Linked DNA regions of Oryza sativa Japonica Group. The protein of the gene in region 1 interacts with the protein of each later gene in a pairwise test. Links are inferred from orthologs where the notes say so. Each region holds a gene or a part of one and is shown on either strand. Other genes may lie near its edges.

The links.
Region 2: the proteins of protein GIGANTEA (region 1) and protein rough sheath 2 homolog interact in binary tests that used the Arabidopsis thaliana proteins (3 or more experiments, as listed by UniProt). The link is inferred for Oryza sativa Japonica Group from reciprocal best matches to the Arabidopsis thaliana genes GI and AS1.
Region 3: the proteins of protein GIGANTEA (region 1) and protein O-GlcNAc transferase interact in binary tests that used the Arabidopsis thaliana proteins (3 or more experiments, as listed by UniProt). The link is inferred for Oryza sativa Japonica Group from reciprocal best matches to the Arabidopsis thaliana genes GI and SPY.

What each region holds. Positions count from the first base shown.
Region 1 is NC_089035.1:4,346,424-4,350,175, forward strand, and holds the start of protein GIGANTEA, read right to left. Parts: upstream 2,658-3,752; 5' UTR 2,471-2,657; intron 934-2,470; 5' UTR 704-933; exon of another isoform or gene 627-703; 5' UTR 609-626; coding exon 522-608; intron 430-521; coding exon 352-429; intron 260-351; coding exon 205-259; intron 127-204; coding exon 1-126. UniProt on the Arabidopsis thaliana protein: Involved in regulation of circadian rhythm and photoperiodic flowering. May play a role in maintenance of circadian amplitude and period length. Is involved in phytochrome B signaling. Stabilizes ADO3 and the circadian photoreceptor ADO1/ZTL.
Region 2 is NC_089046.1:24,248,445-24,252,196, reverse strand, and holds the start of protein rough sheath 2 homolog, read left to right. Parts: upstream 1-1,497; 5' UTR 1,498-1,847; intron 1,848-3,752.
Region 3 is NC_089042.1:28,137,686-28,141,437, reverse strand, and holds the start of protein O-GlcNAc transferase, read right to left. Parts: upstream 2,516-3,752; 5' UTR 2,227-2,515; intron 1,809-2,226; 5' UTR 1,764-1,808; coding exon 1,395-1,763; intron 671-1,394; coding exon 509-670; intron 415-508; coding exon 239-414; intron 149-238; coding exon 73-148; intron 1-72. UniProt on the Arabidopsis thaliana protein: Probable O-linked N-acetylglucosamine transferase (OGT) involved in various processes such as gibberellin (GA) signaling pathway and circadian clock.

The DNA.
Region 1 (3,752 bases):
ATAAAGAGATGAAGGACATGAACGGGAAACCATTTCTATCATAACTGAGTGTCCCATCTATGATGCGTGACAGAATCGGATGCACAACTGCATGGCCATGCTCAGGATGATGAAGAACAAAAGTTGCTGGAAATATGAGAAAAATATGTCAAACTCTTTCTTCAATTGTTTGTGGAACATGTATTGATCACTGGATCAAATTACCTAATACTTCATCTACAAGGCGCTTTTCTTTTGATGGATAGCAACTTTGAATTAGCTGCAAGCATGCAAGAAAAAGAATGCAAAAGTTAACACACTGGAGAAAGATTTTATCACAGAAGATACTAAACATGCTTAGAGATACAGTACCTGAGCTATATCTTCAGGGAATTGCTCACTGTCAGCTGTAAACTGGCCAAAGTACTCAACATAGGCCAGAATTTGTGCCTTCAGAGAGGAGACGCAACCAAGTTTCCCATTGAGGCAAGTATGTTCAACATATAGAATTTCTAACAAGAATCAAATAGGAATAATGTTACCTGTTTTTGTTGTGAATCCTGTGGTGGGGGCCAGAACAGTGATGAGAACTGGAGCCCATCAATCCACTTCTCATTTGAAGCTGACATACTTGGTAGCTCAAGAGCCTGCCCAAGAAACTGAGAGAATTCTCAAAGAGAAAGAAAGAAACTACACAAACTGCTCCAGTTAGCAATAAAAGCACCTGTAATCAACACCACGTTGAAGCCGCCAGTTAGTTCATCCATTTATGCCACCAAAGTCCAAATCTTCTTATAAGCTACTTGCCTTGGTATCAAGAAACTTCGAGCAAGAAAGTTATAAGAGTGCTATCCACTTCATTCAATCAACCCCCATAACGGGGGTCTGCATCTCACAACGTGACACGTTATCATATCAACCAATGCCAACCATATGAGCTTCAGAGTCTCTACACTGTAATATATCGCACAACAAAAACCAAAAAAGGAGGAAAATACATGAATTTTAATTAATGCAAAAAAAAATTTACTCCCTCCGTTTCATATTATAAGCCGTTTGACTTTTTTCTTACTGAAATTTCTTCCAAGTTTGACTAAGTTTATAGAAAAATATAGAAGTATTTTCAACACAAAAAAAACATATTATCAAAATATATTCAATGTTAGATTTGATGAAACCAATTTAATATTTTAGATATTGCTAAATTTTACTATAAACTTTGTCAAACTTAACAAAGTCTGACTAGGAAAAAAGTCAAACGACTTAAAATATGAAACGGAGGGAGTAGAAAAAAACTGACAAATGAAAAGAGAGGGAGGTAATGCAACGAAAATTGCATAATCTTACAAGCGCATTATTTTATTGTCAAGTACAACTAAATTCATAATCAAACGAAAAAATATATCTAGGAAAAAGGTGGAAGCTTTCTCGTTTTTAATTATCGAAATGAAAAGGTACATGTTGCAATCATTTATAAGGTAAAGTTTACCATAACATTTAGTTATGGTGCAAGCTCACATGTCGATAAATATGTTAAGGAAGGCATCATAGAAATAGGCAAATTTATGGTAATGCTAATGGATGTGGTGTACAGAACCATTCACTTGGTTCCTCGTAGGCTCCTATGGCTTATCACACAAAATCAATAGATGTGTTTTTCGTGACATTTATACTTCATTTGTTATTCCACGTCACTCATCGGTCTGTTTTTGTTGGTCGATTATAAATGTATTGTCTAAGACAGAATTTAATGATGTTGTTCTATCTTGTTATTCTTTCTTTTTTTGGCAAGCAAAGATTCTATTTCGGGTACTATGACACCGAACCAGAAAGTATATTACCTAAAGCATAGAAATGGAAAATATATAGGAACAAAACAGGTTCTTCTTTTGGTGTTTAATTACAGGTGTCTCTGCTCATCGGTTGGTGTCTGTATTCACTTCCACTGTTAACGAAATGAGGAAGGGATCCCTTGTTACTGTTTCAGGGGAAAAAATATTAAAGCAGAGCTAGCTTACTGCGAATTAATTTTCAGTAATTATCCCCGCACAAATTACATCCACAGCCGTATGCACCACATCTAAACGCCTCCACGAAGCAGCAAAATCCAGCTAGAATCAACGCTACTCGCCTAAAAAAACCACAAAAACCTCCTGAAATTCGCAGTAATAAGCATCCATCTCGCGTTGATCTATCCGATGCCACGAATTATTACAATACTAATCAGCTCAACCTCGCCGTCAAATTTCAAAACTAATTTCCCTTTCACGTCTTCAAAATCCCAACCGCATCTACCACCAAAACTCTCTCCCCCCAAACAAAAATCCCCTCAACATAACACCACAAATCCACCCGAACCACCTCGCCCCCCATACACGACAACCTTAGAAAGGCCATCATCAAAACCAGCCTAAAAATAGTTTTAAAGAAAAAACCACCAAGCACAGCACAGAAAAACTAAAACCGCACGGGAAAAATAAAAAAGCATTACCTCGATCAGCCTTTCAACCAATCCGGACCTCACGCGGCGTAGACGGCGGCGGCGGCGAGGGGATAGACGCGCGCGGCGGCGACACGGGCGGTGGAGGAGGCGCAGGGGAAGGAGGAGGAGAGAGAGAGGGAGAGAAACGGCTCGGAGGAAGGAGAGGCGAGAAAAAGATTTTTTCCGGGGATGGTGGTGGTGGTGGTGGTAGTGGCCGCGCTATTTCCCACCCGCGCGCGCGCGTGGGGTGGGGGCCCACGCGGCGGTTCCGGGTCGCCGACACGTGGGGGCGGGTGATGTGGGGCCCACGTGTCGGTGATAGGCGGGTGGGGTAGCTGCGGGGTGAGATACTTATTCGTGAGTGCGGCGGGGGGGTGGGAAGGCTTTGCTTGGCTTGGCGGATCGCCTCCTGGCGATTGCTGACATGGCCTTGATATTTTCGGGGGTGCATGGCATGTATGTATGTATGTATGTATGCTTGGTGATCGTCATGCATGACCCCCCATGGCCATGGCCAATGACATGGATTTTGTGGTTCTAGTCCTTGTGTTGTGAGATTATTGCGAAATGGTCCCTATGATTTTTGAGGTACTATCATGGTAAGCGGTTAAAGTGGAGGTATATATCCATTTTCTTTTGCAAGTGAATGATTACTTTTTTTAGAGAGTTGACTAAGGCTCCCATCGGTTGTCATTTTACCCAAAATGACTTATTTGGCTTATTAGAAAATTAAAATTAATTTATAAGTAAAACTTTTGTAGATTTGTTCGTAGCGACTTAAAAGCCAACATTAACAAAAATTACGTTAAAAGCATTTCAAAATCAACTTCAAAATCAAGTTCAAAAATTCAAATTTTGGCTTATTCTTTGGCTGTTTAGGCCAAACGATGGGGCTATAAAATTTAGCCTCTGTATTCAAACTGGATCTACACGGTTAAAGTGATAAGAGCAAATTTAATAGTAAAGTCAACAAGTTGCTATAAGCTCCTATTCCATGCGTCCCAAAATACAAGGTTAGTTCTATTTTCCTCTCATCTCTCTTTCTCTCTCTACAAATTTAGGCTGAGTTCTTTCTCCGAATTTTTCAACTCACTTTCCTCGTTTTTCACGCGTACGTTTTTTAAACTGCTAAAAACAGTATGTTTTTTTGCAAAAATTTTATATACAAAATTGCTTAAAAAATCATATTAATCTATTTTTTTAAAAAAAATAGTAAATGGTTTATTAATCATAAGAAAATGTGTCACTCCATTTTACGTGCGTAGGAGGTGAGTTTCCAATCTCACCTCCC
Region 2 (3,752 bases), on another chromosome or scaffold:
TTAGCATTGACTTTTAAATCACCAAGAACATAAATATAAAAGTTTTACCTATAAATTTATTTTTATTTACTATTAAGCCGTTTTGATATATTAGAGGATATGAGCAAACGATGAGACTCTTTCTTTATTTCTCTCTCAAAAGAAAAAGGCTTATTTATTATTCCCCTCACTTTTAAAACGTAAAGATTTTTAGGATTCAAATTTTATATTAAATGTAAGCATTCCAAAACTGATTCTCATGATTACAATCATTTTAATGATTCCAAAGCCAATCAGATGATTGAAAGTGAAATTCAAACAATTCAAAATTTAAAAATTGATAACCGAAGTGATTAAAAGGGAATATTTGGACCTAAATTTAGTATTTGCTAAACAACCTATAAATCGTTGTATTTTAGAATGGAGGGAGGAGTTTTCATGTGAAATGTAGTATTATTTTAATACAATCAATTAAGTCTCAGTCTTCATTGACTACTATGAATGAATCAGACAAAAATAATTTATGTTCAAACTTCTATATTAGTGTTATTAGCGATTTTGAAAGACGATACTAGAAAATAGATTAAGAAGAAAAAAAATCTTAAAATCAACTTAAAATATAACCTTTTAAATTCAAATTTTGGCTAAGCTCAGTAAGTTAACATGTAGACGATGAGAGGATATAAAATTTTACATGGTTTTACTACTAAGCCGTTGGATTGCGATCGGACGACGACTCTCATGCATCTGGCTTGTTGAGCAGTGGAGAATTGGAGATTTTTTTACAAACATTGTACTGTGATCTGGGCTGGGTGGCAGCCAGATTGGTGGGAGTAGATTCCATTTCACCATGCATCTTCTCAAGAAAATTCCTAGCACAGTTTTGTGCTACAGCAGCAGCAAAAAAAATAATGCAGATGATGGCTCATCCATGCACGGCCATTGTACCAGCACAGTGTAAAGAAATAAAAATTGGCAACAAGAGGCAACCATCTCATCTCATCTGGACTCACCTAGAGTATGGATCATCTCCCCTGTCCATGCATGCATGCATGCTGCAAGAAAATGCATATACAAACATTCAGAAAATTATATTTGATATTGATATTCATTTGCCTCCCATCTCCCTCTCCAACAGTGCCATCTCTGATCACACCCACACTGTGAAGTGAAGTCAGTCATCTCCAAGAGAAGCAAAAGCAAATGCAAAGCCTTCACCTCTCACCTCACATCCATTGCTGCATGGACCATGGCACCAATGCACCATGCACATCTCCAGCATCTCCATCTCCATGAGTCCATGTGCATTCAAGCTTAGCAGCAGCAGCAGCAGCAGCTGTATGTGTGGGTGTGGCCATGGTGCTTTCTTTGCATTGCATTGCATTGCAATGCATGCACTGTTTGCTGCAGCTGCTGCAGCTGCAGTGACTAGTCTAGCTCTCTCCATCTCTTTCTTTCTCTGCTTCTTTGTTTCTTTCTCTGTCTATAAATACAGAGGCCTCTCCTTTCCACCCAGCCCTTTTCCTCTCCTCCTCCCGTCTTTTCCACCACCACCACCCTCGCGTGCCCTAATTTCTCGCTGCTCCTTGTCCCCCACCTCCTTTACTTGAGCTTGCTCACCACTGCCTCCATATACAGAGAGTCTTCTCTGTATTTCTCTCTCTCAGTGGGAGGCTCACAAGAATCTTTCAGCTCACATCTCACTGTCCTTGCCTTTCTCTAGCTAGGTACTACTACTGCTAGTACTAACCACTGCTCGTGTTCTTGGGACTTCTTCTTCTTCTTGTTCTTGTTCTTAAAATCATTTGGGGTTTTGAGCTCCAGGGAGGTCCAAGAACAGAGCAGCAGGATGGTGCAGTGGCGTTTCTGTAAGTGAATCCTACTACCTTCAGTTTCTTGAGCAGTTTCAGTAGTGTAGAGCTTATGATGTAATGCAGCAGGTGCCATGTGTGTTGTGCTCTGAAGAAAGCTGTTCTGTGGGTTGCTTTGTTACTATGTTTTTTGTGTTCATGTTTCTTGGTCTGTATGGCTCTACATGTTGGGTGTTTTTGGTCAGATTTTGTCTCTCCTATATCTGCTAGTCTGTTTTTCTGCAATAGATCTTTCTGTTAGATTTCTTGTCTTGTAGGGAAGTTGGTAGAGGATGTGCTCTCAGGGTAAGGATTGATTGTCAGTTTGCTTAGTTCTTTCTTTTGATTCACCAGTTGGGATTTAGTTAGTATGGATAGATAATCTGCTAGGTTGGGGTTAAATGTTGCCTCTGATATGGTGAGTGAAACTACTTTTGTGGATTTTGTATGGATTGTGGTTAGTGGGTGAAATTTGTGTTCTTGATTGAAACATCTACCTAGTTCTTGAATCTTCAATGGCAGCATTATTGTACTGATTGTTGTATGGTCCAATAATGTATTTAGGGGGATTCTACTTACTGCTAGTCTGCTCCCAGATATGAAGATTTGATTCTGTTTTTTTTCCTCTTCAAATGTTTCTTTTTTATAATTAGTTGAAATATGCTATTATCCAGAGTACTTTTGGGGGTTTATGGATTGTTTCCTCCTACTCAAGAGAGGTAAACAAAGTAACTTCTTCAGTACAGATTTTCCAGAGATGCCATTTCTTCTTCATCATTCCTCCTTTGATTACTTCATGATTGTTTTTACCTGCTTCTCAGCCCATATCCCTTGGAACATTCACTTCCATGAAAATTACCACCTAAGGAAAAAAAAACAAAATGGTCAGTAATTGAGAACTTGCTATATTAGTTACCTGAAAGATAGTAACACCCAGCAACACAGATCCATGTTTCAGTATACTTGTGGTATAGGAGTAGTATAGTATAGTATACCCCCACACTGCTTTCAATTTGTCAGTACTACTACTGTGGTAGTAACATCTAGCCAAGGAGGATACAACGGTCCAATCCAATCAGATCAACAAACAACAACACATTGATTTCTTTGGCCTACTACCATGCTTTCAACATTCTTTCATTTTGTTTCTTCTTGGTTAATGCTTGAATTTCTAGATGAAATGGATGGCACAAGACCACTCTTGAGGAATCCTAAGTTTCCTATAAATCCCTTTTATAAATACTTTTTTTTAGAAACAACTGTTTTGTCTCAACTTAAAAAAAATAAAATCAAAAGCATATTGCTTGCAAGAATTCAGAAGATGTTCTAGGTGAAATTCTTGCAGATTTTATTGCATTTCTCTCTCATGAGTCCTTCATTACAATTAGGTGAAAACTAAAGAGGTGCCATATTAAATAGAGTGAATTTATTGCAAATTAAATTGGTTTTCGATTTGTCAAATTTGCTCGAGACACCTAACCAACTAACCCTTATTGTCCAAATCAAAATTCCATCTCGTGCGCAATTAGCCCTGGCCATAGCTTTAATTCGTCATTAGTAGGCAACCAGTGGGGGCTCCAAATGGTCCTAGAATCATCACTTTTACTTTGGATTTGCTTCTGCCTCTTGCACATTCCCTTATTTTGTAGCCTTCTTGAGGGTATTAGGTAGGTGTTTTGGCAGATTATCTCCCCATTGATCAGCTCCCAATTAATGCCAGATGGTGACACTGCTAAAGATGGAAGACAAGCTTGCGAGAAAACAGTGGTAGCCTTATTATTTCCTCTCACAAGAATTGTGCCCACAACTTGTCCTGACATCTGTGAATTTGTCTGTATGTTGATAGTAATAGCTGGATGAATCATGGGTGCTTAACAATGCTCTTACTTACCAATAGTGTTTATGGTCGGTTGGCCCTTGCAA
Region 3 (3,752 bases), on another chromosome or scaffold:
ATGATTGACATGCAGGACACCACAAGAAGCAATGTGTTGATTTGGTTGAAACAAAAGGTAGCAAGACCACACCTTTGTACCCAAGTCGGTTAGTGCTATTGCCATGTTATTCTTGGCAATCTCAAAATTTGGGGAAATAGTCAAGCACCTGGGATACAGTAAAGATAAGTCAACATTAGTTTTCAACAGTACTTTGGGAATCAGCATAATTTGTATGAGCAGAAAAAATAAAGCTTACCTCTCGTAGCAGGCAATTGCTGCTTCTAATTCTCCACGATTCTTGTAAATAACTCCCATGTTGCAATAAGCTTCAGCATACAATGGCCTCTCCAAAGCAGCTTTCTCGTAACAAGTAAGAGCCAAATCAAATTGCATCATCTCCGAGTAAACCACACCAAGGTTGTAATAAGCAGGCTACATTAATCAGATGAACACATTAAAAAACTTAAATGGATAACAAAAACAAAATAATAGAGATCTAGATATAAATTATAGCTGGTGATGGTACCGCATAGTGGCTGTCAACTTCCAAAGCTTCACAATATTTTTGAATCCCCTCCTCTGTATTACCTGCAAGCTTCAAGCTAGTTCCAAGATCGGTCAACACAATAGCAAGAAACTCTGCAGCAGGTTTGTAGGAAGGATCTGCATTTCGAGCTTTTTGATAAGCCTGTTACAATTTCTCTCCATCAGAACATTTATGGATAAATATATCACATAATAAATACAGAAACAATGTCGAAATTCCAAGCTTTTCCGAGAGAATTTTTGGACTGACCAACTGTTTTGATCTTATATGTTAGATTGGTTAGGAACTTAGGATTTTTACAACCCTGCCAATTAATAGGGACCACTATTCTCCAAGGGGCAAAAGTATTACTCTTTTTGCAGCTCTAGCTGAGCCTTAGCTCATTCACATGTCATTCTATCCACCAGCTACGCACAAAATTTTACGGTGCTAATAAGTATGTCATGGAGATAATAAAAAATCTTCTGCTGGAAAATTCTTGAGTGATTATCTCGACAGTTTTATCTCTTGCATAGTATGCTTGATCAAGAACTTATCAAACTAGTTGTTTTGGTTTCTAGTTACAGTTCTTGGACACAAACCACTCAAGATATAACTTGGTGCTAAAAATAGGTCTGCAGTACCCTCAGAAGTCAGAAATTGGCAGTTAAGTCCCAAGTCTCATTGCCTGGTATTTTGGGGAGTGCGACTGTGCGAGGCACTTACTTCAGCATTTGAGTATTTTGCTTTCAGAGAACCACATATACAACATTTGAGACTTCTAGTGTTTATGACAACAAACTAAAAAGAAAAACTATCAGATTTCACAATAACGAATAAGCTAACAGTAAGAACAGGGAATCCACATGAAGAATCTTACGCATACCTCTGCAGCTTCAACTAAGTGACCCTCATCTTTGTATATCATCCCACAATAAGTGAGAGCACATGCATTCCCTGGGTCGATCCTGACGGCCTCGTTGAAGCACTCGATGGCCTGCATAGGTAGGCTCTGTGCCTGGAGGCAAATCCCTTTGCCAATAAGGGCCTCCACATTGGCTTCATCCTTCTCAAGGACATTATTGTACAACTGGAGTGCTTCGGCAAATTTGTTGCGGGAGCGGAGGATGTTGGCGTACCGCAAGGTGTCCTTCCCGTCCAACTGCTGTTTTGCAGGGACAGCACCACCATTACGTTCAGGAACAACGCCATTGCTCTCCCTCCCTTCGCTGGAGTCCATCCCCGGTCGCCCCATGGTACGGAAAGTAACCTACTTGTTCTATCTTTATCTTTTTTTTTTCTGCAGAAAGAATGTAACGATCATCAATTTTAGAATGGTTCGTTAGGTCTAAGATTTCAGTTGCGAATATTAGCGTGAAGAAAACGCGTCTAAAAAAAGGAGAAAAATTGGAGCCAAATGCGCGTAAAGACTAGAAAAAAAGGACGCGGCTTTGGACTACCACCGAATTGCGTAAAAGCCGCAGCTTTTTAGTAAAAACTCAGGGAAAAGAACACCAAGATTGCAAATTTCAAAACCCTAGCCAAAAAAAGAAAAAAAGAACTTTTGCAAACAACAGATTAAGAACACCCCCGGAAAGAATCCAAGAACAAGCACTAAGAATTCGCAGGAAACAGTAGGCGTTCGCAACGCAAGAGAACTCTTCCAGCTCAAGAAGCAAGAACCCTAATGCCGCGGCGGAAGTAGGAGGAGAGCTCACATTGGATAGGCGCAGTCCACCGGCGCAAGATCATGGCGCGGCAGCCGGCACCGCACCCCCCACCGCCACGCCGCAGCGAGGGGGGGGAGACCTACCCCTCCGCGCCGCCGCAGGGAGGGGGACCCGGTACCCCGCCGCGCCGTGCGGCAGCAGCAGCAGCGAGGGTTTCGACAGCGACGGCGGCGAGGGTTTCGGGAGGAGGGGAAGGAGAAGGAGAGGGGGAATTTTGGTGTTTAGCCCCCTCCGTTTATTCCTTTTTGCTTTTCGTATTTTTTTTCCCTTCTTTACAAGTTCATCGTGCGCTCGCTTTGCCTTTTGTACTGCCGACTCGCAGGCTATTGCAGCTGGGCTCTGGTCGACTCCTGCAGCTTTTTTTTTTTCTGCTGTATCTTTTGGCTGCCACCCCTCAGTTTTTACTTTATTCCTTTATTTACTTTCCTTGTGGGAGCAACAGTCTGCAATGATTTTTAGACAGTCCACTAGTAATTGCTTGACACAGAGAAATTAATTGTGGGCTGGTTTGGTTTGAGGTCTAAACTAGCCTTATCAATATTTGGCAATTTCAATAGTGTTTAGTGTCTATTTGGTTTGAAGCCAAATTTTGGCATGCCTAAGAAAATAGGCCATTTCAATAGTTAAGTTAGGCTATTTTGACTTCTATCCAAACACAACTTTAACTTGCCAAAACTAGCCATGCTAAAACTTACCAAAATTTGGCATTGCCAAAAATTGGTAAGGCCAATTTTAGCCACAAACCAAACCAGCCCTGTGTTTCTGAAGGGAAGATATGAGGATGAAATGTTGACCTCGACCGTGGTAAGTTAATCCCGTTAGAGCCTGCTCTAATAACAATACTGTATATCTTAATATAGTTTTATAGATGTATATTTATTAAGAAGCGTTTCTATGCTTAAAAAAGCTAGTGCGGATATTAAAACTTACTAGTAGTAGTCTAATTTAAAAGTTACAATTGACATACTAAACCTCATTAGCAATGGGCAATTTCTTCCCACAAAATTAACCCATATTAATCTCATTTGTCTAAAAGGGCCACATGGCATGTGTCGGTGACATGGGACCGGGAGTATCATGACTAGAGGCTTGGGCAGGAGCAATCACCCACGAGGCCTGACCCCCTCGGGGGGGTCGGGCCCGAGGGTGATGTGGCCGCCCCCCTCTTTGTCTCCCCGAGGGGTCGGACCGCTCCCGTTTCGGCCCCGAGGGCTGAGGCGCCCCGACCCCTTGTAGGTCTTGCGCCGCGTGTATGGGTTAGGTGAGCGCAGTAGGGCTCACCTAACCGCATTTATTGCGGTTTGGACGAGCGCGTCACGCCGCATGTAACGCAGTGCAGCGCGCTCGTTTATCCGGTCTGTGACCAGTCACAGACCGATCAGATCGTGGGTTAGGTGGCGACAGGCGGTCTGACACACGCCTCGCCCCATCCCGTCAGGATGAGAGCCTCCAAGCACTCGTCCCTAGCCGGAGCCGGCGTGTTACCTCCTGGAGATGGCACGTTGGTCCCGGTC